2 linked regions of the Anolis sagrei genome follow. The protein of the gene in region 1 binds, or shares a complex with, the protein of each later gene. Links are inferred from orthologs where the notes say so. Each region holds a gene or a part of one and is shown on either strand. Other genes may lie near its edges.

Region 1 (16,096 bases):
GTATGTATTAAATGATGAAGGATATCTTGCAACATTTTATCCCTGGTCTCTTCAAAGCAAGCTGTGATGGTTGCTTCTCAACTGAGCTATGTTAAGATAGATTAGTGTAAAGGCAATCAGAATGAAGTAAATAAAATCTGATAGGAAAGACAAAAGATCAAAAATTATTTTCACCACTGAGTTTCTAAAAGTTAAACATTCAGCACTTTGCTGTAACTGGATGTGTTGTTCAATAGCAAATCTTTCTAGCTTTTGCAAAGCCCTTGTTTGGATGTAACCTAGGGAGATATACTCCTCAGCTTGTGGCTACATGAGTCCACAAGTAAGAATTCAGAATGTGGTGTTCCCGACTGTTGTGCCAATGCAATACAAAGGAGAGAAGAATTACCGTATTGTGGGAAGAGATGCTGCAGCAGCAAGTATTTCAGTGTAGAGAGGGCTTATTGTGTGTCAAGACTACTGGCACGATTGTGCTTTCCTTATCAGGACAAACTGAAATGACATCAAAATCTATGGGTTCTGTCAGATTCTGGTATCACCTTGTTTCTCTTCTGCACAATTATGGTGCTTTGATACCTATAGAATCCTGGCTTTCTTGTCTTGGCAAGGTACTTAGAATCCCCTAGTGTACCTTTTGGAACAGCCATTCAGTGATACAGGTAAGAGGTAGAAAATTCAGAATTCCTCAAAAAATACAGTGGAATCTCAACTTATGAACATCCAATTTAAAAGCCTTGCTCAGCCCTGGTTTCACCTTGACACACAAGCAGCACTTTGCATTAAGGGCTAGTGTGAGAAGGAGCACTAGCACATGAGTATGGGGCTTTAGCCTTGTGCTCTTGTCCACTTTGGGAGATTGCTGTTGCTTTTGCAGAAATTAGTTTGTGTGGTTTTTACTCCTATTATGTTTGGTTTCATGAAGAAAGCAGGAGAGAGAAAGAAAGGGAAGGAGGCTGGAATGAGTACAGTATGATGAGTACAGAAAGATGCTACTGCCTTTTTGCTTTGTGTATCCTTGCCACAACTTTGTGCTTCTACCATTTTTATTGTTCCATGTGAATGTGAATGTGCAAGTTTTGCCTTGTTGTTACACTGGCCAACATACATTTTGTTGCCTCAAATGGGTTTCCTTCTCACAGCTTTGTGCTTCTACCATTTTAAAGTTAATCTTTCTTTTTTATTGTTTCATGTGAATGTGCACTATACATTTGGTAGCTTGGCTTCAGCTGATGGTGAGTCCAGAGTTTTGTGCTCTTGTGGTTCTTTGTGGCCATACTGAAACCAAAAATGCCCCAGTGGACAGAAACCCAATTCTTGTTTTGTTATATATTGAACAGTCTAAGAGACCCTATGCCTATTTAAGATATGGATTTTCATTCTTTGAAGGTTCCAGGAGAGGCAATTTTCTCTCATACACTTTTCTTGGTCAGAAAGCGAGTGATCTGGTCTTGGGGAGCCAAAAGGCAACATAGGATTGCTTTGTTTAGTCCTAGTGTAAATAACAAATTGAAACTCTTTTTGGTACATTCTGCTCATATAGCTTCTGTGAATAGTACAGGCATGCAAATTCATCTTTGGTCCTTGACACTTGGTGGCCTGGTTTCAGCTGATGGTGAGTGCATCAAGATGCAGTGAGATTAGATTTGCTGCCTCTACCCTGCCTTCCTAGAGTTCATATCCTCTCCTTTCCCATAAAACAGCCTATTACATTGCCTGCCATTTATCTCATTCATCATTAGAGAGGAGTGGGTCTCTAAGCATGTGCAGATCTCATTTCCATTGATGGTATTTAGATTAGAGGTGTGGTTTCCAATTAGTTATGAGTGCCACTTCCCCCTGTCAAAATTAAAGACTGGGTGTTGGTCATGAAGAAGGGAATCTTCCATTCAGTTTAATAATGTCTGGAAACTCTTTACAGAAACCTGCCTTATGCTTTTCTAGACCAGAGACATTGACAAACTAATGAAATCTTGGGAGGCACACATCTTTTCAGCTTATATACCAAGGCAGGCTTTGCTTTTATCTTAACTCATCTCAGGAGAGTCGTTAGACCAAGAAAGAAGAGTATGTGGTCCTCCAGATGTTACTGGATTGCATTTCTCATGCTCACTCACTAGTACAATATGGAGATGCATTCCAACATCTGGAAGACCACACATTCCCCACCTTCTTTTAGTCATTACCTAGATCTGTTCCCCACTCAACTCATCAGCTAATGAGCATGTTGCAATTTACCCTTTCTGCTAGTTTATTTTTAATTATTAATATTCACCATGATTACGGAGACTGAATTGACAGATCACATTCACTAGAAGGGAGGATACTTCTATGATTTCACCTGTTTTTGTAAGATGTTTGTACAGCTATACTATAATCTATGAAAGAGATATATCCTGAGCCTTTGTTTCTTTAACAGAAAATGTAGTAGCAGAAGCAGAAAAACATGTAAGGAATGGGGATGGGTTCTTACACTACAAAAAGAAAAGCAGTTCAACATATTCAAACAATCGTTTAATTCAAAACTAACTCTACACATGGAAATGAAACTACCAGATTTGGTAAGCCTTGCACATGTAAATACAAACTTTTTCACCTTTCTAAAGACAACCCCAAGTCTTCATCCAAAATACACCATGTAATTTTTTTTTCTTCCACAAGCATTCACTTTTCTTAAGATTTTGATTTTGGTAGTGAAAGTTCTAAATGTATGCTTTAAAAACCTATGTTGAGGGGATGGGGACGGGACCTGGTGAGGCTGCCTTCTCTGTTCTCTTCCTCTCTCTTCCTTTTCATGTTCATACATGCTCAGTAAGGGATTCAAGAGGCAGCTGCTGCTTACTTTGGCCAGGGTCACAAAGCTATATTAGGATTGGCTAGGATAGAATCCCATTCTTTCCCAGCCCAAGATTTTGGGGGATTGTTTATTATAGATATTATGCTGCAGCCAGGCACAAAAGTCTGCATTTCTCCGGCCTTTATTCACCTTCCTCCCAATGCCAATGATCTAAAACTTTTCTAACTAAACAGAGGATGGAGACAAAAACGGAGAGCTCAGCAGGCATAATAATCTTTTTTTAATATGATATTTATTGGAAAGAGCCATTGTTAATTATGTATGTCTGTATTTTAATACATCTTGCTGGAGGTGGGGGGTAATATTACAGCTGTAATCTCTACAGTAGGGTAGGTCACTGATTATCCACAACATCCAAATGTATATGCTCTTGAGAGTTGTAGTCTCTTGATTCATTTTAGCCAGGTACTTTGCTTGGTCTGAGCTTTGAAATGTGCTAACTAAATGGTCCTGTAAGCTTTTTTCAATTTCCAAAATCTGGCTTTGGGCTATTAGAATAAAACTGTAGATTTAGAGACTGCCATTGTTACCTGTTTGTTTGGAAATTGAGGCGAGACTGAAGTCCATTCAGCTTCAGTTTCTCCTGAATTTCTTCCTGGAACAGCGTCACGGGTTCCCTGGGCATAGCATGTTTGTTTCCTGGATTACCAATTTCCTCCTTCTCAAGATATATTGCCAAAGCCAGGTATATGCAATCTTTACACTTCAGCTAGAAGTTAACAGCAGTCTAGGGGCATAAAAAGTTAACTTGCAGCAATAATCTTGTTGGAATATTTTTTCCATTTACTTTGCAGTTTGAGGTTGAAAACAGCAATGAAAGCTGAGAATGAACTGGAGAAATGATTTCCCCCTCTATTGCTGAACCACTTATACAGTTCTCATAGCTATTAGCAGGGAGATGGGTCATGCTTGAGCTCTTCCCTTTTTGTTACTTGCTTCTGCACTATATAACTCCAAAGAGCCCATCTTCAATTAACTTCAGGATAAAGTATTTTCCCCAGACTAGGGGAGTCTGACATACTGTATTCTAAGCAATGGGAAATTTGATTACCAGCCAAGGGATAAGTGGGTAGAATTTGTTTGGGGCCCAGTTCTACCATCAGCTGTGGGAACATGCTGGAGCCCTTCAATGAAATGCCATGAATGTTTCTCTGAAGTGTACCATCTGCTGCATCATTTACCACCAATGTGTAACATGTGTCAGTCTCCAGCACAAAAAGAACCCTTGGAGAGGCCTGGAATTGCATACAGTACAGGAACCTAGAGGAATGTCAATTGTTTATTTGAGGAGCTGTTCAGAGGGGAATGCATTGGCCATTTCCTTATCTGGGTAACAAGAATGTCTAAGCCTGTTTAGTCCCCAGCCTTCCAAAACTGCAGCATTGCACAGTCCCTTTTGATGAAGATTTACATAAAATTTAATGATGCAGCCAGAGCTGCACTTTGGGACCCTGCAATAAATGTCCTCTCTCCATCACAAACTTAGATGGCAGCAGTTGTGGGGAGTAATGAGAAAGAGGCTTGGCATCAGCATCTGCTTGGTCCAGACAGGACTGATGCCGAAGTATCCTTCCTTGCTCATTTATAAAACATTTTAAAACCATGGAGTGAGAAGCCAAAAATATACATGGTTAGATTTTACATGAAATATATATTACAATACTTCTTTCTACAAGGAACAGGAGTGAGAGAATTGCATGGGGGCACCTTCCTCTAGGAGACTGTGCCTCAGGGAGATAATCCAATTAATAATTCTCTACTGTGTCCATCTTGGAGAAATGATAGGATTGCCATTTTTAAATATCTGAAGGAGATCATATAGAAGGTGAGAACTTGTTTCGGTTGTTCCAGGAACTAGAATATGAAGCAATAGATTTCAATAAGAAGAAAAAGAGATTCCATCTAAACATTAGGAAGGACATTTTTTACTGTGAGAGCTGTTCAACGATGGAACAGACTGCCTTGGAAGATGGTGGACTCTCCGTTTTTGGAGGTCCTTAAACATCTTGGAAGGGCATCTTTTAGGAGTGCTTGAGCTATGTCTTCCCATATGCCAAGGGTTTAGACTATATGACTCTTGTGGTCTATCCCAGCTCAAAGATTCTGTGAATCTAACAAAATAGTGTTTGTCAATACATTTAGTATCAGGGTCATCTGAAATAAATTGAACTCCATTTTATTACTATTATGATAGAAGTGAGCTTAACATTTAACAGTAATAATAACTTTATTTTTGTACCCTGCCTCCATTTCCCCAAAGGGACTCAATTTCCCCAAAGGGGTGGCTTACATGGGGATGAGCTCAATCAACATAGTTAAAATATAAAAACAAAATAAAAATAACATCATTACCAAATATCAAAGCAAACATCAACCAACAACATATGAATCTTCAATAATGATCAGTTTCTGCACATGCTCATGTTCTAAAACTTTTGTACTGTGCTTTTTAAACTTGACTAGCTGTGGGATTGTTAGCTACCTTGAGCCCCCACTGGGCAAAAGGTGGGTATAAATAAAGTTAATAATAATAATAATAATAATAATAATAATGCTCAGACTGCTTTTTAGAAACAGGGAGTGCCAAACTGTCATTTTTGTTTTGCTCTAAAAATATGAAGAATGCACCATTTGTAAAGCATGAAGTGGCAGAAAGAGGTGCAAAAGACAAATGTTTGGGTTTTTTTCTGAAATGTTAAACATGGACATTGAAAGCTCCTCCTCTTTCATTTACTTAGACCACTCAATTCAAGGTCTAAAATCACTTAACTATGTTACCAGTAAACCACATGAGCTAATAGACCAAACGCCACTAGGAGTTCAATTAAATTCAAGCCACGTGGCCTAACATGAATTGAAGGAAAAACTGAATACATGCTGGGTGTTCAAGAACATGTGAATATTTTCATGCTTGATGCAATTAAATTTAATTTCAGAATGAGGGAAGAAAAATAGCTGATTACATCAAACTTTTATATTTTTGTTTCCGGAAAGTTTTATAACAGTGAAGAATTTAGTGTGTCATTGCAGTTTTTTTTTTCACGTGGTAAATCCAGCCTCACCGTGCACACAACATGAAATGCTCAGATTGCAGATACAGTGCATGATTCTACAGGTGAACTTAAATGTCCTCTTAATAAATGCTGATGCTTTAAGCATGCCAGGTTGGATCAACATGACTGAAAGGTAGAAGATGAAAGTGTTTTATAAAGCCCTTTGGCAGTAGGCAGGGCAAGTACTGCGTGGTTTAATCCCCAGGTGTGTGCAGGACGGGTAATTGTTTTTGGTTTGCCTTCTGAATTTGCTACCATTTATTTATGATGAAAAGTAACATGGTGAATTACATTAGCTTCTGAAAAATGGGTGATTCCAGGAGGAAATTTGAAGTACTCCTTAAAAAAATAATCCTGAATTTTAGGGCTATTATATAATGCCACTGTGAGAGCTCTCAAATGTTTTCCAGTTCTATAGCCACTTTATGGATTCAGAAGATCTCTTTCTCTTTTTCCATGATTAAATTTACTCAGGAAGCTTTTGGCCACAGACTTTGTAATAAGCTTTTTGAAAGGCCAAGCACAGAGATGGCACTTTGAATGGAATCTAGGACAAGTTTGGAGCATTAAAGTAGGGTTTCCATGACGTGGGAAACCCAGCTCCAAATCCTTTTTCAGCTCCACGACCTGCTGGGTTTCCTTCTCTTATATTGGTACCCTGCTGGGGAATCTCTGAGACAAAGCTGCTTATTCCCACTGGGCAAACCCAGAAGTGATTGGGGAAAAGATGGAAGGTGAGTCATCATTGCCCAGTCCTTAGCATCACCTTAGTGGCTCTCCACCTTAGCAACAACGTCTTCCTTAAAATAATAAAACTGTAATAATGCATTTCCATGCTGTTTTGTTAGATTAACAGAGAGACTGTTGCAATTCCTTGGGGTGAGGAAGGAGCGGTACTGTTCTTTTCATTTAACACAGTGAGATGTCTGTCTCAAGACAACAGATCTGGGGTATCATAAAAGTGCATTGATCATCGAGGGTCCTATCACACTACACTGTTATAGCACTATCTTTCCACTGTAACTGTCATTTCAACATCTTATGGAATCCTAGTATTTACAATTTGGGTATTCAGCAAGCTTTTGGGCCTCACTAATAATAGTTTCTTATCGTGTCAGGAGCAAATTGAGAAACTGTTGCTTCCAGTGTGAGAGAATTGGCTGTCTGTGCGGGCGTTGCCCAGAGGATGCCCAGATGTTTGGATGTTTTACCATCCTGTTGGGGGGCTTCTCTCATGTTTCCGCATGGGGAGCTGGAGCTGACAGAGGGAGCTCATCTGTGCTCTTCCTGGATTCAAATCTCTGACCTGTCGGTCTTCAGGGGGCTCCAATACTGCTACTACTATTACTACTACTACTAATATGAATAATATGCTTTATTTATTTTCTGCCCTATCTCCCCAAGGGGACTCAGGAAGGATTACAGAATGCATATACAGCAAGCATTCAACGCTATCATACAATTGACAAGGACAGACAATACATAAACAGAGGTAAAACTAAGAATTCTACAGGATGTTCCCATGGTAGTTAAAGTGGGATAATAGCACTATAACAGTGTGGTATGACAAGGTATTTATTTGTTATAATTTTTCATTTTACTTCAAGATGTAGGAGATGTAGGCAAAGGAGGAATTTATTGCCTCATGTACTGTCTTGATTGATTTAGTATATTGATATAGATGAAAGGGGAAACATGTCCTAAGGCCTGCTCACACTGCACGGTAATAGCACAATTATGCTTAAACTGCCATGACAGCATCCCATGGAATCCTATAATTTGCTTTTTAGTGAGTGGTATTCAGAATGCTCTATAGAATCATAGAATCATAGAATCAGAGTTGGAAGAGACCTCATGGGCCATCCGGTCCAACCCCCTGCCAAGAAGCAGGAATATTGCATTCAAATCACCCCTGACAGATGGCCATCCAGCCTCTGTTTAAAAGCTTCCAAAGAAGGAGCCTCCACCACACTCCGGGGCAGAGAGTTCCACTGCTGAACGGCTCTCACAGTCAGGAAGTTCTTCCTCATGTTCAGATGGAATCTCCTCTCTTGTAGTTTGAAGCCATTGTTCCGCGTCCTAGTCTCCAGGGAAGCAGAAAACAAGCTTGCTCCCTCCTCCCTGTGGCTTCCTCTCACATATTATACATGGCTATCATATCCCCTCTCAGCCTTCTCTTCTTCAGGCTAAACATGCCCAGCTCCTTAAGCCGCTCCTCATAGGGCTTGTTCTCCAGACCCTTGATCATTTTAGTTGCCCTCCTCTGGACACATTCCAGCTTGTCAATATCTCTCTTGAATTGTGGTGCCCAGAATTGGACACAATATTCCAGATGTGGTCTAACCAAAGCAGAATAGAGGGGTAGCCTTGAGTCACCTTGACTTCCATCAAGTCAACCCCAGGCCCGTAGCCAGGATTTCGTTTCGGGGGGGGCTGAATTTTTTTTCAGGGGGGGTTTCGGGGGGGGGCTGAGTTTTGGGGGGGGGGGCTGAGTCTGAGTGAAAGAGGGTCTAGCCTAGCAAACCTTTTGTATCATTACCCCAATACCCCCATGCATATGGGATATATTGAGTATGGTGATCAGATCATGATAGGAATAAACATAACAGTTTAAATAATGCACCAATAAGGCCTTTTCGCGAACCACCATGAAAATTTCGGGGGGGGGGCTGAAGCCCCCCAAGCCCCCCCCCCTGGCTACATGCCTGGTCAACCCTATTTCTTTTCATCAAGTCAACCCTATAAATGAGAGACCCCTAAGCCACCCAATGTTCATTTAGCCCTGCTCAGGTCTTCAAGACTCAGGGTCATGGCTTTCTTGATTGAATCACACCACTTGGAATGTGGTCTTCTTCTTTCCCCATTGCTTTCTACCTCACCAAGCATTGGTTTGCTGGCTGATATCTGAATAGAGAATGGGCCAGAGATGTCAATGCCTTCACCCTTTCACTACAGTAGAGTCTCGCTTATCCAATCTTTGTTCAGCCAGTGTTCTGTATTATCCAACACAATCTGCCTCCCGCTCAGATCCACGGAGAAAGAAAGAACCCTTGTCTATTTTGGTGCTGAATTCATATAGTAATTACTACATAATGTTACTGTGTATTGAACTGCTTTTTCTGTCAATTTGTTATAAAACATGATGTTCTAGGGCTTAATTTGTAAAATCATAATGCAATATAATCATATTTTATTTATTTACAGTATTTATATACTGCTTTTCTCATCCTGAGGGGGACTCAACGTTTTTTTGTATAGTTCTAATATTTGCATTTTGTAAGATTTGTAAATTGTATAGCTATTCAGATGGTGAGCCACTCTGGCTCCCTGTTTTGGGAGAAAAGCAGAATACAAATACATAAGATTATTTATTTATTTATCATGTCAGAAGAGAATTGAGAATATAGTTATAAAAAACCCCACAAAGTTGAAAACTTGGGATTTTGCTAAATTTCCTTTGGCCAGACGCTGGCCACTTGGGAGTGCCTCTGGTGTCTCTAGGATAATGATGGTGATGGCGATTATGATGAAAATGGTGATTTTGACGATGGTGACAATAATGAAGGGAAAGCCCCAATCAGCTGCGAGGCGGACCCTCGTTCAGGCTGAGAGCCAAGTGTGGCCGCACTTCCCGCGCGCGGCCTGCAGGGGTCGCTGTTCGGAGCCTCATCCGGCGACGCCGCTCTCGCCCCCGCAGCGCTGCGCCGCCAGCTCCTTCCTCTCCTCCCAAGAATTCCTTCAAGAGGGCAGGGCCGGCTCCCATCGGCTGCGGCTGGCCTCCCTCGCTGTGCATTGTGGGAAGGGTAGTTCCGAGGCCTCGGGATAAGCTCGCCCGCTAAGGAGCGGCGGACTACAACTCCTACAATGCCGCGGGGCCAGCGCCTGGCCGTTCCTTTTGAATGATTTCACTGCGGTTTCCATTCCCAGCGAGAAGCGCCGCAGCAAGGGAAGGAAGCGGGCAGGCAGGCAGGCGCCGCAATCATGCTCTGAGGATCCCGCGGGCCAGCCAGGAAATCCACTCGATCCCTTGAATGGCAGCCTGGGCGAGGAGGGCTAGAGGAAAAGGAGCCATGGCCGCACGAAGACTGGCGCGGCTTTGAAGCCTGCAGAAAATCACACACACACGCACACGCATCCCTATTTTGGTCTATGTGGCCAGCGCGGGCTCCGTCTCGCTCTGCCTGCGCCGCATTCCCTCCCCCGCTGGTGGAGAGCGCCGCCGCCGCTGCTTGCCGCTGAGGGCAGCTCTGCTTGGGCGAAGATGTCGGCGTTGCCGGACGAGGAGGAGTACGCGAGGCTGGTGCGGGAGTCGGGCCCGGAGTGGCTCCGCGCGGAGGTCAAGCGCCTCTTCCAGGAGCTGGGCGAGACCACCCGCGAGAAGATCCAGGCGGCCGAGTACGGGCTGGCCGTGCTGGAGGAGAAGCAGCAGCTCAAGCAGCAGTACGAGGAGCTTGAGCTCGAGTACGAGACCGCCCGCGGGGAGATGGAGCAGCTCAAGGAGGTGAGGGAAGGGAAGGGAAGGGAGGGAAGGGAAGGGAAGGGAGGGAGGAAGAAAGGAGGAAGAAGAAAGGGAAGGGAGGAAGAAGAAAGGGGGGGGGGAGATGGGGGGAGAAAGAGGAAGGGAGGAAGAAGCAGGAGGAAGAAGAAGGGGGAGAGGAGCAAGGGGAGGAGGAAGAGGAGGAGAAGGACAAGAAGAGCGGGGAGGAAGAACAGGAGAAAGGGAGGAAGAAAAGATAGGGGAGGAGGAAGAGGAAGGGAGGAAGAATAGAGGAGGATGAAGAGGTGGGGGAGAAGAGGAGGAAGGAGGGAGAGGAAAAAGAGGAAGAAGAAGGCTCAGGAGCAAGGGGAGGGGGATAAACAGGAGCGAAGAGGAAGCGAATGAGGAGAAGGAAGAAGAAGAAATGGAAGGACAAGAGGAGGAGGAGGAAGAAGAGAAGAAAGGGGGAGGAGGAACATGGGACAGGAGCAAGGCGAAGGGGTGGAAGATAAGGAGGATGAAGTGGTGAATGAGGAAGAGGAGAAAGGAGGGAGGAAGAAGAGAAGAAAAGGGGAGGAAGAAGAAGGGGCAGGAGCAAGGAGAGGGAGAGGAAGAAGAGGGGAGGAGGAGAGGGAAGAAGAAGAAAGGGAAGGCCAAGGAGGAGGAGGAGACAGGGTGAGGCAGAAGAGTCAGGAGCAAGGCGAGGGGAAAGAGAAAGAGATTGAGGAGAAGGAAGAAGAAGAAAGGGAACCATAAGAAGAGGAGGAGGAAGAAGAAAGAGAAGGGCAAGAAGAGGGGGAGGAAGAAAAGAAAGGGGGAGGGAGAAGAAGGGTCAGGAGGAAGCCAAGGAGGAGGAAGAAGAGGAAGAGAATGAGGAGGAGAAGGAAAAAGAAGAAAGGACAAGAAGAAGAGGAGAAAGGGGAGGAAGAAGGGGCAGGAGCAAGAGAAGGAGGAGGGGGAGGAAGAAAAAGTGCTGGGGGAAAGAGGAGAAATAGGAAGAAAAGAGAGGAGGACGGAGGGAAAGACAAGGAAGAAAGGGAGGGGCAGGAAGAAGGGGGTGAGGAAGAGGAAGGGAGGAGGAAGTAGAGGAAGAGAATGAGGTGAAAAGGAAGAGGAAGAAGTATTGGGTGAGAGAGAGGAAGAAGAGGGGGAGGAGTAGAAAGTTGAGAGGAAGGAAAAGGCAGAGTAGAGGAAGAGGTGAAGGAAGAATAGGAGCAGGGGGAGAGAAAGAGAGTGAAGAAGAGGGGAGGAAAGCCTACTTGTCCTCTGGGCCCTGGAAGTGGAATGATGAGTGGGTTGCAAGGCAGGAAATATGTATGCATGCTGGAGAGATACAGATTGCAGGGGGGAACATGGGCTAATGCTTACAGCTCTGCCAGCCTGGAAGAGTCCTGCCAGCCAGGAATTGAGTGAACACTCACACACAGACACACATGTTTCTAAGTAGCAGCTGGTGTGGAGGAAGGCCAGGCCTTCTTGTTTTCCTTTATTCTGGGCCCTTGGGGTGGGCTGGTTGGAATGTAATGTTGTTGGGTTTGTTTTTTTTGCAAGACAGGGCATTCCTGCAGGAGATCTATAGCATGAGCCAGTGTGGATCAGGTCAGGCTGGAATTGAATATGCTGGAGATGTATAGCATGCCAGGGGGTGGGTGGGAAGCACTAGCCACAGTGGTTAGAGCAGCCTGGAATTTAGAGTGTGTATGGCAGGGTTGTTTTGTAGGAAAGACATAGGGACCCCCTTGCACATGCCAGAGACATACAGTGTGTGTGTGGGGAGTATAGGCCAGTGGTTGGAAATCCCCTGGGGATTCTGGCCAGGCAGTCGGACTGTGCACTTGGCTGGTGATGATGGCGAATAATAATAATTAATTTGTTACCGACCTCTCCATAGATAAAAACAAGGCTATTAAAACACATATATTCAAAGACATAGACCTGAGATTAAAACACACTGAAATCACAATTCCTACTAATAAAACGTCAGTTCAAATTCACAAAAATATTAGGCCATTGAAACACACACACACACACACATATATTCAAAGACATAGGTCTAAGATGAAAACCCATTAATATTGGTGTGAATGTGTGTGATGTGGAAAGGAAGCGACTCCTTGCCCACCTTCCCTAGGTTTGCACATTGGCAATAAAGTCACAGGAGAAAGGCGCCTTGGCCTTCCTTGTTTCTGCTGGCGCAGTGCCTTGCCATTCCCTTAAAGGGGCAGCTCAGTGTATTCCCTTAATGCACCGTGCCGGTCCCATGACATCTGCAGCTTTCCTCCACACTGCAGGGAAATGGCCAGGACAGTAGATAGGGTGCATCTATACTGTAGAATGAATGCAATCAGACACCACTTTAATTTCCATGGCTCAATGCTATGAGATCATTGGAGCTGTAGTTTTACAGGTCTTGAGCCTTCTCTGCCTAAGAGTGCTGGTCTCTCACCAAGCTACAGCTTCCAGGATTCATTAGCATTGAGTCATGGAAATTAAAGTGGAGTCAAACTTCATCCACTCAGTTGATGCATTGCCACTAAAGATGCCTCTACACTATAGAATGAATGTAGTTTAACACCACTTTAATGGCCATGGCTCATTACTATGGGATCTTGGGATTGGTAGTTTGGCGAGAGGCAGCTAAAATACCTTGTAAAACTACAGCTTCCGGGATTCCATCGCATTGAGCCATGCATTTAAAATGGCGTAAAACAGCATTATTCCTACACTGTTTATTCAACCAAAGTACTGAGGTTAATAATCAAGTTATTGATTGAAATCTGGTACAGGCATCTACAAGAACTGTCCCCTTCCTGGCCTATTTCAGGTTGGCTCGATGGAATTAGCTACTTAGGTCTAAATTACATTATTTAATTGCCTGCTGCATTGTGTCTTCAGATGCACAATTACTGATATTTGGAGAGTGTGGGAGGCATATTTGCTTAACCAGAGAAATGAGTATGCATTTTCAAACAGCTAATAATTAAGGGTTCCTCGGGGCAGTTTTGTCTGCTGGGAGGTTGCAGTGTTAATGCAAATAGATGAACAGTTTATTGAAAGCAACAGAACAAACTCATGGAAGTTCATGGAAGCTCGGAAGGCAATAACTTTAACTTCTCCCAGTGGTGTAAAAACCATTTCAATTGTTACTCTGGATTCTGGAAAGTGTACACCTGCCTAAGAGTTTGAGATATTATTTCAACTATGTTCAGGACTTTTCTTTTGAAGAAAGAGTCCAAAACAGCCATTGTGTGCTCGTGACTATGAAGTATTTGGTTTTCGTTGAATAGGTCTTATGACCACAGTTTTGCACAGGTAAATTAATTTATTATGAATATTTCCCTTACCAACATAATCATCCATTTTTCCCTGTCCCACAATGTGTGCTATAATAGAAGAATGAGTAGCTATGGTCTCTCTTTATTTGGGTAGGTTTGATCAGGTGACTTACTTAGAGCACATCACCTGATTTTTGCTTTTCTAGGTTTTTAACCTCTCATTTTTGTTTTGTTTTTATCACTCATATACCTGCAGCTGAATTTCTGAATTTTACTGATTTTATCCAATGGGTTTTGTGTAGTGAGATATTCACGTTGGTTGTTATTGTTTGATGTTATTGTTTCTGCAATTTTTGTACTTTATGTGTTTGCACCTCTGGGAGATGGTGGCAGGGTATAAATAAAGTTTATTTTATTATATTAAATTAAATAAAAGGATAAACTAAAACATGGAAGCCCTCTCTTTGGTTTTGATTTGAAGCTGTTTAATTGCAAACAGCAGAACTGTCGCTTGGCAGCTGTGACAGTCTGGATGAGGGCAAACAAATTGAAATTGAATTCAGACAAGACAGAGGAACTCCTGGTCAGTCGTAAGGCCGAAGAGGGTGTAGAGTTACAGCTTGTGCTGGATGGGGTTACACTCCCCCCACAGTTTCGCAGTTTGGGAGTGATCCTGGACTCATTGCTGAGCCTAGAACCCCAGGATTAAGCAATGGCCAGGGGAGCTTTTGCACAATTAAAACTTGTGTGCCAGTTGCGCCCGTATCTTGGGAAGTCAGACTTGGCCACAGTGCTCCACACTCTGGTTACATCGGGAATAGACTACTGAAACATGCTGTACTTGGGGTTGCTCTTGAAGCTTCAAGTAGTCCAACAGGCAGCAAGCAGATTTCTCACCGGAGTGGGGTATGGAGAGCATACAACTTCTTTGTTATGTCAGCTCCAGTGGCTGCCAGTCTGCTATCAAGCACAATTCAAATTTCTGGCTTTAGACTATAAAACCCTAAACGTTCCAGCCCGATTTACCTGTGGGATCCTGCCTGAATGTATCTCCCTCTATGAGCCAGCTAGAAGGTTAAGATCATCTGGGGAGACCCTGCTCTCGGTCCCACCTCCTTTGCAGGCGCGACTGGTAGGGATGACAGGCAGGGGCTTCGCAGTGGTGGCCCTCCCAAATGAAATCAGATCAGCTCCCTCCCTCCTCACCTTCAGGAAAAAGCTAAAAATGTGGATGTGGGATCAAGCATTTGGTTAGTAACCCATTAGAGAATACGGAATAGTGCAATGACAATCTGGAATGGCCATGGATTATGATTTTGGATATTGTGATTTTTAATAAGTGTTTTAAGGTTTGATATGTTTTTAATGACTATTTTAATGTATATGTTTATTTTATTATATATGTATGTTTACATGGCATTGAATTGTTGTCTATATATGTAAGGCGCATTGAGTCCCCTACGGGGTTGAGAAAGGCCGGCTATAAATATGGTACATAAATAAATAAATACATTTAATGGACACAAGAGAAGCTGGTTTTTTAAGGTGGCATAAAACATTACAAATTTGCTAGCCATTGGAACAATAATGCAGGCCCAACTTCAGTATTTACTTAACAGAGGAAAAATGTTTAATTAAATAGTGCAAGTCTTTATGATGGCACGGTTTGTTAATGAAGCCTGTTCTCAACCAAGGTGCTTAATATTATCCTCACCGTTTAATCAAAAGAGTTTTAGGAGGTCACTATTAATTATTTTTCAAGGTCTTCTTTAAATCCAAATCTATCTTAGTTTCTGGGAAGACGTATCTATGGAGTGATGTCCATCGCCTGGAGCAGGCCTTACAAATGGTGTGTTTGAACAGCAGTGTGATGCCTTTGTGCTCACTGTTCTGTGTCCCTCCTCTTCTGTGCCATGTGCAAATGTGACAACTGCAACAATCAGCAACATAAGCACAGATGAAAGGCATTTCTGTGGCTTAACTGGGAAGGAGGTGGGATTTCCAATGATCAGATAAGATGAGAATTCAATACCTTTGGATCTTGTTACCCCTTCCTTTGATTGCAAATGCTAAAATGTTATGCTAAAAATTAAGCAGATGTTCTCTACTTATAATTGGGAATCTATACAAGGAGCAGAATCTATTCCATTTTTCTTTGTGTGGAATGTTTTGAGCTGAAACTACACATCATTGGTAGAGAGCCTGATTACATATGGACTGGATTTGGGAAAATTATAATTCTTTACAACTTTGTTGCTATGGGGAAGTCTGGGTCTCATTAGGGACTTCCTAAATTTTTTGCAGATGTGCAGTGAGCTGCCTGAAAAAAACAACTCTTAAATTGCTGCTTATACACAGAATCACAATGGTTAAGCTTGTTCAGAAGAGTTCTAGTCTTTTCCTATGTTTGGTTTAGTCAGAAATAAGTTCACTGGAT
Region 2 (15,626 bases), on another chromosome or scaffold:
TATCTGTGTAACAGTATTATTATTATTATTATTATTATTATTATTATTATTATTATTAGCTTGGATACCTGGCAATGCCTGGGTTATTTGAAAATGGGAGGGCCAGTCCTGGCCAGATGTCAAGGCATCGCACTGGTTATGTTTGTTCCCAATTCAAAGCCGCTTTGGGTCTGGATCCAAAGAAAAAATCAGAGTCATAACAGACTCAACTCCTAAATTTTATAGATATATTTTAACTATGTTGTGCACCGCCTCGAGCCATAAGGAGAGGAGAAATAATAATAATAATAATAATAATAATAATAATAATAATAGTGATCGGCACACAGGGTGCAGTGTCTAAAGACCTTGGCCTGCACTTAAATATAATCGGCGCTGACAAAATTACCATCTGCCAGATGCAAAAGGCCACCTTACTGGGATCTGTACGCATTATTCGCCATTACATCACACAGTCCTAGACACTTGGAAAGTGTCCGACGTGTGATCCAACACAACAGCCAGCAGAATGATCTTGTTTGCTGTGGACTCATCTTGTTGTGTTTCAAATTATTATTATTATTATTATTATTATTATTATTATTATTATTATTATTACCAGGATTGTGGCACAGCTGGCTGAGTGTCAGCTGCATTAAAATCACTCTGACCAAAAGGTCATGAGTTCGAAGCCAGCCTGGGTTGGAGTGAGCGTCCGACCAATTGTGTAGCTTGTTGTTGACCTTTGCAACCCGAAAGACAGTTGCATCTGTCAAGTAGGAAAATTAGGTACCATCTATGTGTGGAGAGGCTAATTTAACTAATTTATGAGGCCACAAAAAAGACTCCAGCAAAGCATGCGGGGAATGCGGAAGTACTTCATCAGTGTCGCAGATGGACGATGAAAGCGAAAGCTCCCCTGGTGGCCAGAAAAGTTAAATAGCCTCTGTGTATGTCTATATACGTTGTATGTCTAATTGGCATTGAATGTTTGCCATATATGTGTACATTGTAATCCGCCCTGAATCCCCTGCAGGGTGAGAAGGGCGGAATATAAATGCTGTAAATAAATAAATAAATAAATAAATAATAATAATAATTATTATTATTATTTGGAAGAGACCACAAGGGCCATCCAGTCCAACCTCCTGCCATGCAGGAACACAAAATCAAATTGTTGTTGTTGTTGTTGTTGTTGGTCTGAAAGGTATTTCCATGCTGGCCCATGACCTGCGGAACTCTCTGCCAAAAGAAACTTTCCTGGCCTCACAACTTCTAGCTTTTAGAGCAGTGGATCCCCAGATGTTTTGGCCTTCAACTCCCAGAAATCCTAACAGTAGGTAAACTGGCTGGGATTTCTGGGAGTTGTAGGCCAAAACACCTAGGTTGATGTTTATTTTGGTGTTTATTTATACCCCGCTTTTTCTCTCTGTGAAGGGGACTCAAAATCATCCTACAATAAAAGCATTTCCATACACTTTGAAATCCAACAATATGCAAACATTAAAATAGAACAAAACATCAGGGTATGAATTTCAAATGACCAGTCCAAATCTTTAAAATGGATTCAAAGCTAAAACCACGGATTTCACCCTCCATTTGATAGGTGTGCTCTTGTGTCTATGTTGTTATATGTATTTCAGTACTGTTCTGTTTCATTTCCCTGTTTCGACCTGTTGCACCCTGCTGCACGACAGCCTCAATAAGTAAGTGCAATTAAGTGCAAAGATGCATTGCTGAGCCCCTGTGCAGAGGGCTAACTGGGAATCCTATGCACACTTTCTGGAGAGTAGACTGCTTTGAGCCTCCTTTGTGGAGGGAAAAAGGTGGGGTATTAATAATCTATCTATCTATACACATAATAAAAGTGAAAAAGTGTATGTGTGTATTTGGCAGAGGTGCCCACTTACACAGACAGACTCCCACCTCCAAACAGCTTTAACCCGCAGTGCTGAAGAGCCACCAAAAGCCCTCCCTCCAAGGACATTACAGGTTACGGCGGGCGCCATGACCATGTAGCCCAAACCTTGCCAATGTCCTCCACAAAGACCATACTGCCCGCCCTCAAGTGAAGGCTTTCATTCAGGGACAATTTCATCCTAGATGTTCTGTTTTTCCTCCAGAATGGACATCCCAGGGTTCCTTACTCTTTCTATTGCTGTGGAATTTGCATGACCCCGCCCAATGCCTCTCCCCTTACCCTTTCCTATTATTATTTTATTTTATTATTTGCTTTATTTGTATACCGCATTTTTCAGCCTATACAGGCGACTCAATGCGGTTTACATGGTACAGGTTATCACAACAATGTCAGTGCAATTAAAACACAACAAATATAACAACAAAATCAATAGCATCAATCAACAACAATTAACAAATCAAACATCGCCTCCGTGAAATCAGATCCGTTCTTGTAATCCTTGTGCCATTCCTATGTTCCATTTACCGTCTTCCTATGTTCGGTTGCACTGTTTAACCAAACGCTTGTTCATAAAGCCAAGTCTTGACCTTTCTCCGAAACGCCAGCAACGAAGGTGCCTGTCTGATGTCTGCTGGTAAGGCATTCCATAGCCGAGGGGCCACCACTGAGAAGGCCTTGTCTCTCGTCCCCGCCAAACGCGCCTGCGATGCAGGCGGGACCGAGAGCAGGGCCTCCCCAGACGATCTTAATGTTCTAGTCGGTTCATAGGTGGAGATGCATTCGGAGAGGTAAGTGGGGCCAGAACCACTTTCCTATGGCACACAGCAAACAGGAATTGATCAGCAACTGAACAAGAGGTTTGGGAAGAGTTCACCATGATTTATAGGAGTTGTAGCTCATCTACATCCAGACAGCACTGTGAACTCAGCCAATGATGGATCTGGACCACACTTGCTACGGATGATGGTATTTGCAATACTTTCACACACTTCCCGAGACCACTGCGACTCCCACAAATGGCGGATCTGGACCACACCTGCCACACAGGCCTCCCATGGTCTACTTTACATCTTTGTGAGGTTTGGGGAAGGATGCACTATGGGAATTGCAGTATCATCACTCACTATCAGAAACCACTGCAACCTGAACGAATAATGCACCTGGACCCAATTTAACACACAGACTCCCTATGATGCACTTTCTGTCCTGCTGATGGTTGGGGGAGGATGGACCACAGACAATGGGATTTGCAGTACCTTCACCCACTTCCACAGACCACTACGACCCCCCTTACTTTACTTAGGCAATCCCTCGCTTTCCGAGGATGATTGTCTTCCAGTGTTCTTGTGGGTCTGTATGTGGCTGTGGAGCCCTATTCTTGCTCTGCATCTTCTTCCGCAGTGAGGGCATTGGTTTCCAGGTGGAAGGCGGTCTCGGTCGGGGTTGGCTTGACGCGCCCTCCTCTTGGCACGCTTCTCCCTTTCACCCTCCATTCATGCCTCCTCAAATTCTGCAGCACTGCTGGTCACAGCTGACCTCCAGCTGGAGTGGTCAAGGGCCAGGGCTCCCCAGTTCTCAGTGTCTATGCCAGAGTTGTTAAGGTTGGCTTTGAGCCCATCTTTAAATCTCTTTTCCTGCCCACCAACATTCCGTTTTCCGTTCTTGAGTTCAGAGTAGAGCAACTGCTTTGGGAGACGGTGGTCGGGCATCCAGACAACGTGGCCGGTCCAGTGGAGTTGATGGTGGAGGACCATCGCTTCAGTGCTGGTGGTCTTTGCTTCTTCCAGCACGCTGACGTTTGTCCGCCTGTCTTCCCAAGAGATTTGCAGGATTTTCTGGAGGCAGCGCTGATGGAATCGTTCCAGGAGTTGCATGTGACGTCTGTAGACAGTTCACGTCTCACAGGCACGATTAACAAACCTGGGACAAATTTGGGACATAAAACCCAAACCCAGTTTGGGGAACTGACACACTTGCGTAGGAGTTATAGTTCTTCCTGCATCAGGACCACTCTGAACCCCATCAATGAAGGATCCGACCACACTTCGAACACAGAACCCTGGTGACCATTAGAATATACTGGCAGTGTTTGTGGGGGATCGACCTACCCATGTGGAAGTTATAGTTCACTCTGTACCCAGAGCACTCTGAATCCCACCAATGATGGATCTGTGCCAATCATGGCATACAGAACCCTGGGGACCAATACATCATACTGGAGATGTTTGTGGGGGGACCGACCCACCCACATGGAAGTTGTAGTTCACCCTGCACCCAGAGAGCATTCCGAAGACCCCAATGGCGGATCTGGAACATACGTGGCAAACAGAACCCCAATGGCCAACAGAACATATTGGAGGGGTTGCGGAGGGGATGACCCACCCATGTGGGAGTTGTCATTCACCCTGCATCCAGAGCACTCTGAACCCCCTCAAAAATGGATCTGGACCAAACTTGGGACACAGACCCAACATGTCAAACTGTGAATATAAGCTGAGTTTGGGGGTAATTGCCCTAAGAATCTGGGAGTTGTAGTTCACCTGCGTCCAGAGAAACTGTGACACCCCCCCCCCCCCGCCATCAACATTGGACTGGGTCCAAACTTGTCACAGAGAAGCTCCATGACCAACTGAACATACTGCAGGGGTTTGTGGGAATTGACCTTGATTTTGGGAGTTGTAGTTCACCCGCATCCAGAGAGCACTGAACTCAGCCAACGTCGGGTCAAATTTGGCACACAGATGCAACCTGACCAACTGTTCGTACAGGCCTGGTTTGGGGAGGGTTGACCCACGTTTTTGGGAACTGTAGTTCACCCACATCCTTATACATTTTCTAATGGGAGCATTCATAAAATGCTAATAATAATAATAAGGCCCAGCGAGCACATTGGGATGACCTTCTGAGTCAACCTGCTTCAAAGCAAGCTGTAGCAGGGCTCAGGAATGCTGTTTGGATTGCAACTCCCATCATTCTCCAGTTAAAATTAGGATTTATTAAATGGGCACCCCCAAAGGACAAGACTGGCTTAAATGGGCCACAGATCGACTCAAGATGAGACAGCTTCCAATAGCCTGTATCTGACTTAGCCCATTCTTCATTAATACATTCTCTAGGTTTTTCCCTCATGTTCTGACTCCTAGGATTGTATCATTCTAGGACAGTGTGGATGGACCACTGTTGGGAGGACTTGAATGGTGTCTCCCTGGATAGTGGAAGGGGGCTGGACTGGATGGCCCTTGGGGTCTCTCCCAACTCTATGATGGATGGCCATCTGCTTGTGTCTTCCAGCATAGTGGGAGATGGTTGGACTGGATAGCCCTTGGGGTCCCTTCCAACTCTAGGATGGTATTATTCTAGGATAGTGTGGATGGCCCTCTGTTTGGAGAGCTTAGATGGTGTCTTTCCCGGCAGAAGAGGGTTGGACTGGAAGGCCGTGGGGGTCTAGGATGGTATCGGTATAATAAAAACCATCATCACCAACTTCTTTCTCTAGAGGTGTTTAAGCAGAGACAGAATGGCCCTCTGTTTGTGTGGGCTTCTATGGTGTCTCCCTGCATAGTGGGAGGGAGCTGGACTGGACGGCCCTGGGGGTCCCTTCCAACTCTGCAATGGTATAATAATAATACTCCCTTATAATGGAGTCTTCTCAGGAGGTGTTTAAGCAGAGACGGAATGGCCCTCTGTTGGGAGGGCTTGGGTGGTGTCTCCCTGTATAGTGGAAGGTGGCTGGACTGGATGGCCCTTGGGGTCCCTTCCAACTCTGGGATGATATAATAATAATACTAATAATGGAGTCTTCTCTGGAAGTGTTTAAGCAGTGACGGAATGGCCCTCTGTTGGGAGGGCTTGGGTGGTGTCACCCTGTATAGTGGAAGGAGGCTGGACTGGATGGCCCTGGGGCTCCCTTCCAACTTTAGGATGCTATCATTCTAGGACAGTGTGGATGGCCCTCTGTTGTCTGGGTTTGGGTGGTGCCTCCCTGCATAGTGGGAGGGGGTTGGACTGGATGGCCCTTGAGATCCCTTCGAACTCTGGGATGGTAAAATAATAATAGTAATAATGAAGTCTTCTCTGGAGATACGGAATGGCCCTCTGTTGGGAGGGCATAGTGGATGGGGGTTGGACTGGATGGCACTGGGGATCCCTTCCAAATCTGGGATGGTAAAATAATAAGGCTAGTAATGGAGTCTTCTCCTCTGGAGGTGTTTAAGCAGAGGCTGAATGGCCCTCTGTTGGCAGGGCTCGCTGCATAGTGGAAGGGGGCTGGACGAGAGGGCCTGGGGGTCCCTTCCAACCTTAGGATGCTGTCATTCTAACACAGTGTGGATGGCCCTCTGTTGTGTGGGTTTGGGTGGTGCCTCCCTGCATAGTGGGAGGGGGCTGGACTGGATGGCCCTGGGGGTCCCTTCCAACTCTGGGATGGTAAAATAATAATAGTAATAATGATGTCTTCTCTGGAGATAGGGAATGGCCCTCTGTTGGGAGGGCTCTGGTGGTGTCTCCTTGCATAGCGGATGGGGGCTGGACTGGATGGCCCTGGGGGTCCCTTCCAACTCTGGGATGGTAAAATAATAATAGTAATAATGAAGTCTTCTCTGGAGATAGGGAATGGCCCTCTGTTGGGAGGGCTCTGGTGGTGTCTCCTTGCATAGCGGATGGGGGCTGGACTGGATGGCCCTGGGGGTCCCTTCCAACTCTGGGATGGTAAAATGAGAAGGCTAGTAATGGAGTCTTCTGCTCGGGAGGTGTTGAAGCTGAGGCTGACTGGCCCTCTGTTGGCAGGGCTCGGGCGGTGCCTCGCTGCCTGGTGGAAGGGGGCTGGACGGGAGCCCCCCCCCCCCCGGGGGTCTGTGGCGCCCTGTGGGAGGGCTCCGGCCTGGCTGTGTCTGGCGCGGTGTTCCATCTGGAGAGGCGGGGCTGCGCGCCTTGCCAACAGGAGCAGGAATGTTCTGGTGCCCGCCCGGGCAGGCAGGGGTGAAGCCGGGGGGCGGGGCTTGCGGGGGTGGGCGGGGCCGAGGCGGGCACCTGTGGGCGGGGCGTCGTGGTCATCGGCGCGCGGGCCAATGGGAGCGGGCGTGGGAACAGGTGCTGTTCGGCGTCAGGGGCGCGCGGGGCGGGGCCTGCGGGGCCAGGGCTGCGCGGGGCTGGCGGCTGGCATCCGGCGTCGGCAGCGGGTCCCGCGCGATGTCCTGCCGGCGCCGCCCGGGCGGAGATGGGGCGGGAGGGGCGCCGCGGAGCCGGCCCGACCGCCCGAGCCGCGCGGGGTGGCCGTGACTGCGGGCCGCGGCGGCGGCGTCGGAAGCGGCGGCGGAAGGACGCCGGAGGAGAAGCCTGAGGAGGAGAAGCGGAGCGCGGTCCCTTCCTCCCTCCCTCCCTGCCCCTGCCCCTCTCTCCCCCCCTCCCTCCCTCCCCCGGGCCATGGCCGCCTCCTGCCTCCGCCTTTCAGCACCCGCGGATCTGGACAGCGCCGGGCGCCGCATGGAGCTGCCCGAAGGCCGCGACGCCGCGCCCGCCACGCCGGACCCGGCCTTGTCTTCCTCTTCCTCCGCCGCCGCGGACCTGGAGCTGGTGCTGGAGGAGGAGCTCGCCCTGCTAGCCGCCGCCGGCTGTGAGGAGAGCCGCCCCGCCGCCGCCGCCGCCGCCCAGGAGAGCGAGGCCGCCGAGCCGGAGCTGCGCTCCCTCATGAGGCAAAAGGAGAAGGACTTGCTCCTCGCCGCCCGGCTCGGCAAGGCGCTGCTCGAGCGCAACCAGGACCTCAGCGGGCAGTACGAGCGCATGCACAAGGAGCTCAGCGAGAAGCTGGAGGTGAGGCGCCTGCCCCGGAAGCCCGGCCGCGGGGGGCATCCTGGGAGATGTAGTGTCCCCACCGCACCGGAAGGAGGGGCCTCTGCTGCAAGCAGCCGGGCCCTGGCCTCCACCCGGCGGGGGCCACACTTCAGGCCTGCCAAACGCAGCCCCGGCCCAAGCCAGGCTCAAACGCCAGGCACGCCCCATAGCCCACCATCCCCTCCCAGGTCTTCTGCTTTGAACTACATTCTAGGAGTCCACACTGACACATAATTATCGGGGACACACAGAAAAGCCACCTTCAAGGGTAGAAATGCACTCAAGAAATAAAACCTGGCACCAGATCCTAGGATATAGGGTCTGTCTAGAAGAGCCCCCCAGGGTTCCCTTCCAAGTTTTCGGCTTTGAACTAGATTATATGACTCCACACTGCCAGATAATCTGGGATACACAGACAAGTCACTGAGTCCCCTCCAGGGTGATATAGAGAGGGGCAGAAAATCAACCAATAAACAAACTCTGGGATATAGGGCCTGTCTAGAAGGGGCCCCAGGTTTTCTGCTTTGCACTGGATTATATGACTCCACACTGCCAGGTAATCTGGGATACACAGAAAAGCCACTCTGAGTCTCCTCTAGGGTGAGATCGAGCAGGGTAAAAATACCATAAGTAAATATATCCTGGCATCAGATCCTGGGGTATAGGGCCTGTCTAGAAGAGCCCCCCAGGGTCCCATCCCAAGTTTTCAGCTTTGAACTGAATTATATGAGTCCACCCTGTCGGATAATCTGGGATACACAGAAAAGCCTCTCTGAGTCCCCTCTAGGGTGAGATAGAGCAGGGCAGAAATACAATAAATAAATAAATCCTGGGGTATAGGGCCTGTCTAGAAGAGCCCCCAGGGTCCCATCCCAGGTTTTCGGCTTTGAACTGGATTATATGAGTCCACACTTCCAGATAACCTGGGACAATTTTATTTATTTATTTATTTGCTGTATTTTGACCCCACTGTATCTCAGTCCCAAAGGGGACTCGGAGCAGCTTCCAAATTGGCAATAATTAAATGCCACAATAAACACAAACCTCTAAATACAATATACATTATACATGACATAAACAGAAAACCTGAGATCAGATCCTGGGATGTAAGGCTTGTCTGGGAGGGCCTCCAGGATCCGATCCCAGGTTTTCTGCTTTAAACCCAATTATATGAGTCTGCTCTTCCAGATAATCTGGAATAAACAGAAAAACTGCCATCAGATCCTGGGGTATAGGACTATCTGGAAGGGTCCCTAGCTACAGAGGCAAAACTAACTACCCACATTAACTTGAGTCTCATGCGCCATCTAATAATGATAATAACAACAACAACAACAACATATCTCTAATATGTGTTCAAAGGAGGGCGACTAAAATGATCAAGGGTCTGGAGAACAAGCCCTATGAGGAGCGGCTTAAGGAGCTGGGCATGTTTAGAATGAAGAAGAGAAGGCTGAGAGGAGATATGATAGCCATGTATAAATATGTGAGAGGAAGCCACAGGGAGGAGGGAGCAAGCTTGTTTTCTGCTTCCTTGGAGACTAGGACGCAGAACAATGGCTTCAAACTACAAGAGAGGAGATTCCATCTGAACATGAGGATGAGCTTCCTGAATGTGAGAGCCATTCAGCAGTGGAACTCTCTGCCCAGGAGTGTGGTGGAGGCTCCTTCTTTGGATGCTTTTAAACAGAGGCTGGACGGCCATCTGTCAGGGGTGATTTGAATGCAATATTCCTTCTTCTTGGCAGGGGGTTGGACTGGATGGCCCATGAGGTCTCTTCCAACTCTTTGATTCTATGATTCTATCCCAGGCCCTTGGAAAGAGACCAATCCCAGACACTTTGACTTAATGTGCATGTGTGCTGCGTTGTTATATACATGTAATTAACAACAACAAGAATAACAACAAAATAATAGGAGACAAGGACTGAATGGAGCCATGGGTTCCAATGACAGGAAAGGAGCTCCCACTTTAACATTAGGAAAAACTTCCTGACTGTAATAAGAGCTGTTTCAGCAGTGGAACTCTCTGCCTTAGAGTCTGGTGGAAGCTCTTTCCTTGGAAACTTTTAAACAGAGGCAGGATGGCCATCTGGTGAGGATGCTTTGATTGTGCTGAGGAGGAGGTTGGATAGAATGGCCCCTGGAGTCTTCTATAAAATACCATATTGACTCGAGTCTCATGCGCCATGGCATAATAATACTAATAATAAAATTAAAACATAAAATACTGTATTGACTCAAGTCTCATATGCCAAATAATAATAATAATATTAAAACATAAAAAACCATATTGTCTTGAGTCTTGTGCGCCATCAAATAATAACAATTTAAAATACCATATTGACTCGATTCTCATGCACCTTCGAATAATAATAACAATAATAACAATAGTGAAACATAAAATACCTTATTGACTTGAGTCTCATGCACCATCAAAAATAGTAATAATAATAATAATATTGAAACATGAAATACTGTATTGACTCAAGTCTCATTCGCCATCAGATAATAATAATAATAATAATAATAATAATAATAATAAGCATAATAGAAGACTAGGACTCAATGGAGTAATGGGTTCAAATGACAGGAAAGGAGATCCCATTTGAACATTAGGCAGAACTTCCTGACTGTAAGAAGAGCTGGTCAACAGTGGAGCTCTCTGCCTTGGAGTCTGGCGGAAGCTCCTTCCTAAACAGAGGCTGGGTGGCCATCTGTCGGGGATGCTTGGATTATGGTTTTCCTGCATGGCGGAAGGGAAGGGGGTTGGACTAGATGACCCATGGGGTCTCTTCCAACTCTAGTATTCTATAAAATACTGTATTGACTCGACAACATATCTCAAGTAATCTCAACATATCTCGAGTAATATAACAACAATAATTAAAAAAACCATAAAATACTATATTGACTCAAGTCATGCACCATCAAATAGTAATAACATAAAATGCCATATTGACTCGAGTCTTGCGCGCCATCAAATCTAAGGCGCACCTCCGTTTTCAAAACCCCCAAAAGTAGTTGCTGGCAAACATCATGTGCAAAAAGCAGCCCAAAGTGCCCTCTTTGTCATTTGACCATTACCATTGCTGCTTGCTTAGGATTCCTTCTTTAAAAACAAACATGTTAGACTAGCAAAGGTTTCAGCAACGGAAAGGAAAACCTTGAGGCGCATCTATGCTGTAGAATGGATCCACTTTAACTAAGGAGTCATGGGGGACGTAGTTCTACAAGGCCTTGAGCCTTCTCTGGCAAGGAATGCTGATGCCTCACCAAACTACAAATCCCAGGATGGCATAGCATTGAGCCAAGGCAATTAAATTAGAAATAGTGCTCCTCAAATAGGAGCTCCAGGTGTAGCTCCTGAAGCAGCTTCCCCTTTTGCTTTGGGTCAGCACTAAGTGTACCTTATTACACGAATTGAATGCACATCCTAATTTGTGCAAGGGAGTTTAGTCAAAAAAGGTGAGCATTAGATTTGAGAAAATCAAATGTGTATACGTATATACATAGCAGTCAGTGCTCTTTAGTGTTTAGCCGATGTTACTAAAGGACTTCTCTGGTCCTTTTTGATTATCTGTGAGCGATGGGCGCTGCAGCCCAACAGGCCTCACCTGGAATAACTAGAGAGATGATTGGCCAAAACAAGCAAAATGAATTTCAACGGGGAGACTACACTTTGGTACTACACTTGGTACTACACTTTGGCAATAAAAAGGAAATGCGCATATATAGGATGGGGACCCCTGGCTTGGAAACAGTCCGTGGGAAAGGGATCTAGGGGTCTTAAGAGACTACAAGCTTGAACACAAGTCAAGAGTGTGCTGCAGCAGGTAAAAAGCCAAGAATATTCCAAGCTGCATCAATAGCAGCATAAGGGAAGCCATAGTCCCACTTTCATGTGCTTTGGTCCAGTTCCAGGCAAAGCAATTCAAGAAGGAGTTGGACAAGATGGAAGGTGCATAGAGAATGGCCACCAAAAGGATCAGAGATCTGGAATCATAGACTCATGGAATCATAGAGTTGGAAGAGACTTCATGGGCCATCCAGTCCAACCCCCTGCCAAGAAGCAGGAATATTGCATTCAAAGCACCCCTGACAGATGGCCATCCAGCCTCTGTTTAAAAGCCTCCAAAGAAGGAGCCTCCACCACACTCCGGGGCAGAGAGTTCCACTGCTGAACAGCTCTCACAGTCAGGAAGTTCTTCCTCATGTTCAGATGGAATCTCCTTTCTTGTAGTTTGAAGCCATTGTTCCGTGTCCTAGTCTCCAGGGAAGCAGAAAACAAGCTTGCTCCCTCATCCCTGTGACTTCCTCTCACATATTTATACATGGCTATCATGTCTCCTCTCAGCCTTCTCTTCTTCATTCTAAACATGCCCAGCTCTTTAAACCGCTCTTCATAGGGCTTGTTCTCCAGAACCCTGATCATTTTAGTCACCCTCCTCTGGACACATTCCAGTTTGTCAATATCTCTCTTGAATTGTGGTGCCCAAAATTGGACACAATATTCCAGGTGTGGTCTAACCAAAGCAGAATAGAGGGGTAGCATTACTTCCCTAGATCTAGACACTATGCTCCTATTGATGCAGGATAAAACCCCATTGGCTTTTTTTTGCCACCACATGACATTGTTGGCTCATGTTTAACTTGTTGTCCACTAGGACTCCAAGATCTTTTTCACACTTACTGCCATGGATCCCTCTGAATATGGGCTTCGGGAGATGGGTATGTTTAACTTGAAGAGAAGGCCCCATTGAGCAAGGGAGCAACTTGTTCTCTGCTACTCCAGAGCCTAGACACAAAGGAGAAATTGATTGAAACTGCAGGAAAAAAAAAGAGATTCCATCTAAAAATGAGGAAGAAATTCCTGACAGTGGACTCTGCTACCTCTGTGTCTCTTTCTCTGGAAGCTTTTAAGGAGAGGCTGGAAAGCCATCTCCCGGGAGGGCTTGGATTGGCAGGGGGTTGAACTAGATGCCCCTTGGAGTCTCTCCCAACTTTAGAATGCTATGATTCTACCTCTCCTGGGCAGACTTACTTGGGGTAAACAGCACTGACTCTCCTGGAGGGGACTTGGAGGAGACCTCACAGAATCATAGAGTTAGAATAGACCACATGGATCATCTAGTTCTAGTCCAACCCCCTGCCATGCAGGAAAAAGAACAATCAAAGCACCCCCGACAGACAAGCCTCATATTTGATGCCTTCCCGGCTGCAAGAATCTCCGAGGAGGTGAATGGAATGACAGCCTGCCAGTGTTGATATCTCCCTGCGTTCTCAGTCTATATAAATAAAAAAAATGTAATGTTTGTTTGTGGGATTAACACAACTCAAAAAACACTGGGTGAATTGACACCAAATTTGGACACAATACACCTATCAGGCCAACAAGTGACCATAATTGATAAAAACACTGAAAAACACAGCAGAAGAGACTTTAAAAGCCAAAAAAATAAAAAATACATTACAACTCATGTGCAAAACCACATATATACATATATACACAAATATATATACACACATATATACACACAAACACAACACATATACACAGACTCGGCCACAGCAATGCGTGGCAGGGGATGGCTAGTAGTAGTAGTTATTTATTTATCGTGTCAGGAGCAACCAGACATTTGTATTACATTTTTAACAACACAAACAAACAGACAGATAAAACACAACGTTTGCAAGCTTGGTAGTTGATTAAATGTCCTTTGAACAGTATCTGGCCACTTGGAGTGCCTCTGGTGTTGCCGCAAGGAGGTTCTCCATTGTGCATTTAGCAGGGCTCAGGTTGCATTGCAGCAGGTGGTCAGTGGTTTGCTCTTCTCCACACTCACATGTTGTGGACTCCACATTGTAGCCCCATTTCTTAAGATTGGCTCTGCATCTCATGGTGCCAGAGCGCAGTCTGTTCAGCGCCTTCCAAGTTGCCCAGTCTTCTGTGTACCCAGGAGGGAGTCTCTCATTTGGTATCAGACATTGGTTCTGGGTTTGAGCCTGCCACTTTTGGACTCTCGCTTGCTGGGGTGTTCCAGCGAGTGTCTCTGTAGAACTTAGAAAACTATTTCTTGATTTAAGTTGTTGACGTGCTGGCTGATACCCAAACAGGGGATGAGCTGGAGATGTCTCTGCCTTGGTCCTTTCACTATTGGCTGCTACTTCCCGGCGGATGTCAGGTGGTGCAATACCGGCTAGACAGTGTAATTTCTCCAGTGGTGTAGGGCGCAGACACCTCGTGATGATGCGTCATGTCTCATTAAGAGCCACATCCACTGTTTTAACATGGTGAGATGTGTTCCATACTGGGCATCCATACTCAGCAGCAGAGTAGCATAGTGCAAGGGCAGATGTCTTCACTGTGTCTGGTTGTGATCCCCAGGTTGTGCCAGTCAGCTTTCATATGATATTGTTTCTAGCACCCACTTTTTGCTTGATATTCAGGCAGTGCTTCTTGTAGGTAAGAGCACGGTCCAGAGTGACTCCCAGGTATTTGGGTGCGCTGCAGTGCTCCAGTGGGATTCCTTCCCAGGTAATCCTCAGAGCTCGGGATGCTTGTCTGTTCTTAAGGTGAAAAGCACATGTCTGTGTTTTAGATGGATTACGGATCAGCTGGTTTTCCCTGTAATAGGCAGTAAGAGCACCTAGAGCTTTGGATAGCTTCTGTTCTATCATCTCAAAGTTCCCTGCTTGAACAGTAATGGCACGATCATCAGCATAGATGAAACTCTCTGTCCCTTCTGGCAGTGGCTGGTCATTTGTGTAAATGTTGAACATGGATGGAGCAAGCACGCTCCCCTGAGGCAGGCCGTTCTTCTGTTTCCGCCATCTACTTCTCTGGCCCTGGAACTCAACAAAGAAGCTCCTGTTTTGTAGCAGGTTTCCTATGAGGTGGGTGAGATGCTAGTCCTTTGTGATATTATACATTTTTCTCAGGAGGAGGCGGTGGTTCACAGTATCATAAGCCGCTGACAGGTCTATGAAGACAGCTCCTGTGATCTGCTGCCTTTCAAAGCCATCTTCTATGTGCTGAGTCAGGTTCAGCACTTGCGATGTGCAGCTTTTGCCTTTCCTGAAGCTAGCTTGCTGTGGAATCAGACATGGGTCTATTTTTTCCGTAATTTTATGCAAAATAAGTCTCTCCAGAACTTTGTAGAGGTGGCACAACAGGGAGATTCGTCTATAGCTTTTTGGATCATTACGGTCTTTGCTTGGCTTCAAGATGGCAATTACTCTTGCTTTCCTTCAGATTTTGGGGATCTGACAGGATGCAGTGTAGTTGTTCATCAGTTCCAGCAGCCAGCGCCTTGCTTTTGAGCCAAAGTTCTTGATTTGGTCCGAGTATAATGGTCCTCCAAGATTAAAGAGCAGCAGCAGCAGCAGCAGCAATAATAATAAGAATAGTAATAGTAATAGTAATAATAATAATAATAATAATAATAATAATAATAAAAAGCAGTGCTGATAAGAGTAGCCTTTGAAGCAGTCCAGTTATTTTTGATAAGACTTGGGGTTGTCAATCAAGCACCCTTTGAAAGCTCTCAAGCCCCCCCTTAAAAGCCACCCCCCCCCAAGCCTGCCTTACCCAGCAGGAAAGAAACCTGTGTGAATGCTGAAAATCCAAGAGCAATAGGTGGGAAGGAATGCAGGGCTTGGAGCTTAGAAGCTAAAGGGTATTTTTGTTTGGGGAGGGACAGAAACCTTATTTGGGGGGCAATGCCTTTATTTTGCCCTTCCTGCCTGGCCTCAAGTGTGAGGCCATCATCCCAAGGAACATTAATATAAACTGCTGGGGGTGCGGCCCAGTTTGGGGTGTAATGACAAATGTCTTCCAGGTGTTTTCCTCCCTCCTTGAGCTGCCACTCCCTCCATTCCTCAGCTTTGGCTTTGC

Evidence for each region.
Region 2: BICD2 (region 1) and BICDL1 share a complex: the UniProt entries of both Homo sapiens proteins name them as parts of the tripartite complex. The link is inferred for Anolis sagrei from reciprocal best matches to the Homo sapiens genes BICD2 and BICDL1.

What each region holds. Positions count from the first base shown.
Region 1 is NC_090022.1:61,123,948-61,140,043, forward strand, and holds the start of BICD2 (protein bicaudal D homolog 2), read left to right. Parts: upstream 1-9,687; 5' UTR 9,688-10,168; coding exon 10,169-10,408; intron 10,409-16,096. UniProt on the Homo sapiens protein: Acts as an adapter protein linking the dynein motor complex to various cargos and converts dynein from a non-processive to a highly processive motor in the presence of dynactin.
Region 2 is NC_090034.1:46,092,862-46,108,487, reverse strand, and holds the start of BICDL1 (BICD family-like cargo adapter 1), read left to right. Parts: upstream 1-7,048; 5' UTR 7,049-7,321; coding exon 7,322-7,708; intron 7,709-15,626. UniProt on the Homo sapiens protein: Acts as an adapter protein linking the dynein motor complex to various cargos and converts dynein from a non-processive to a highly processive motor in the presence of dynactin.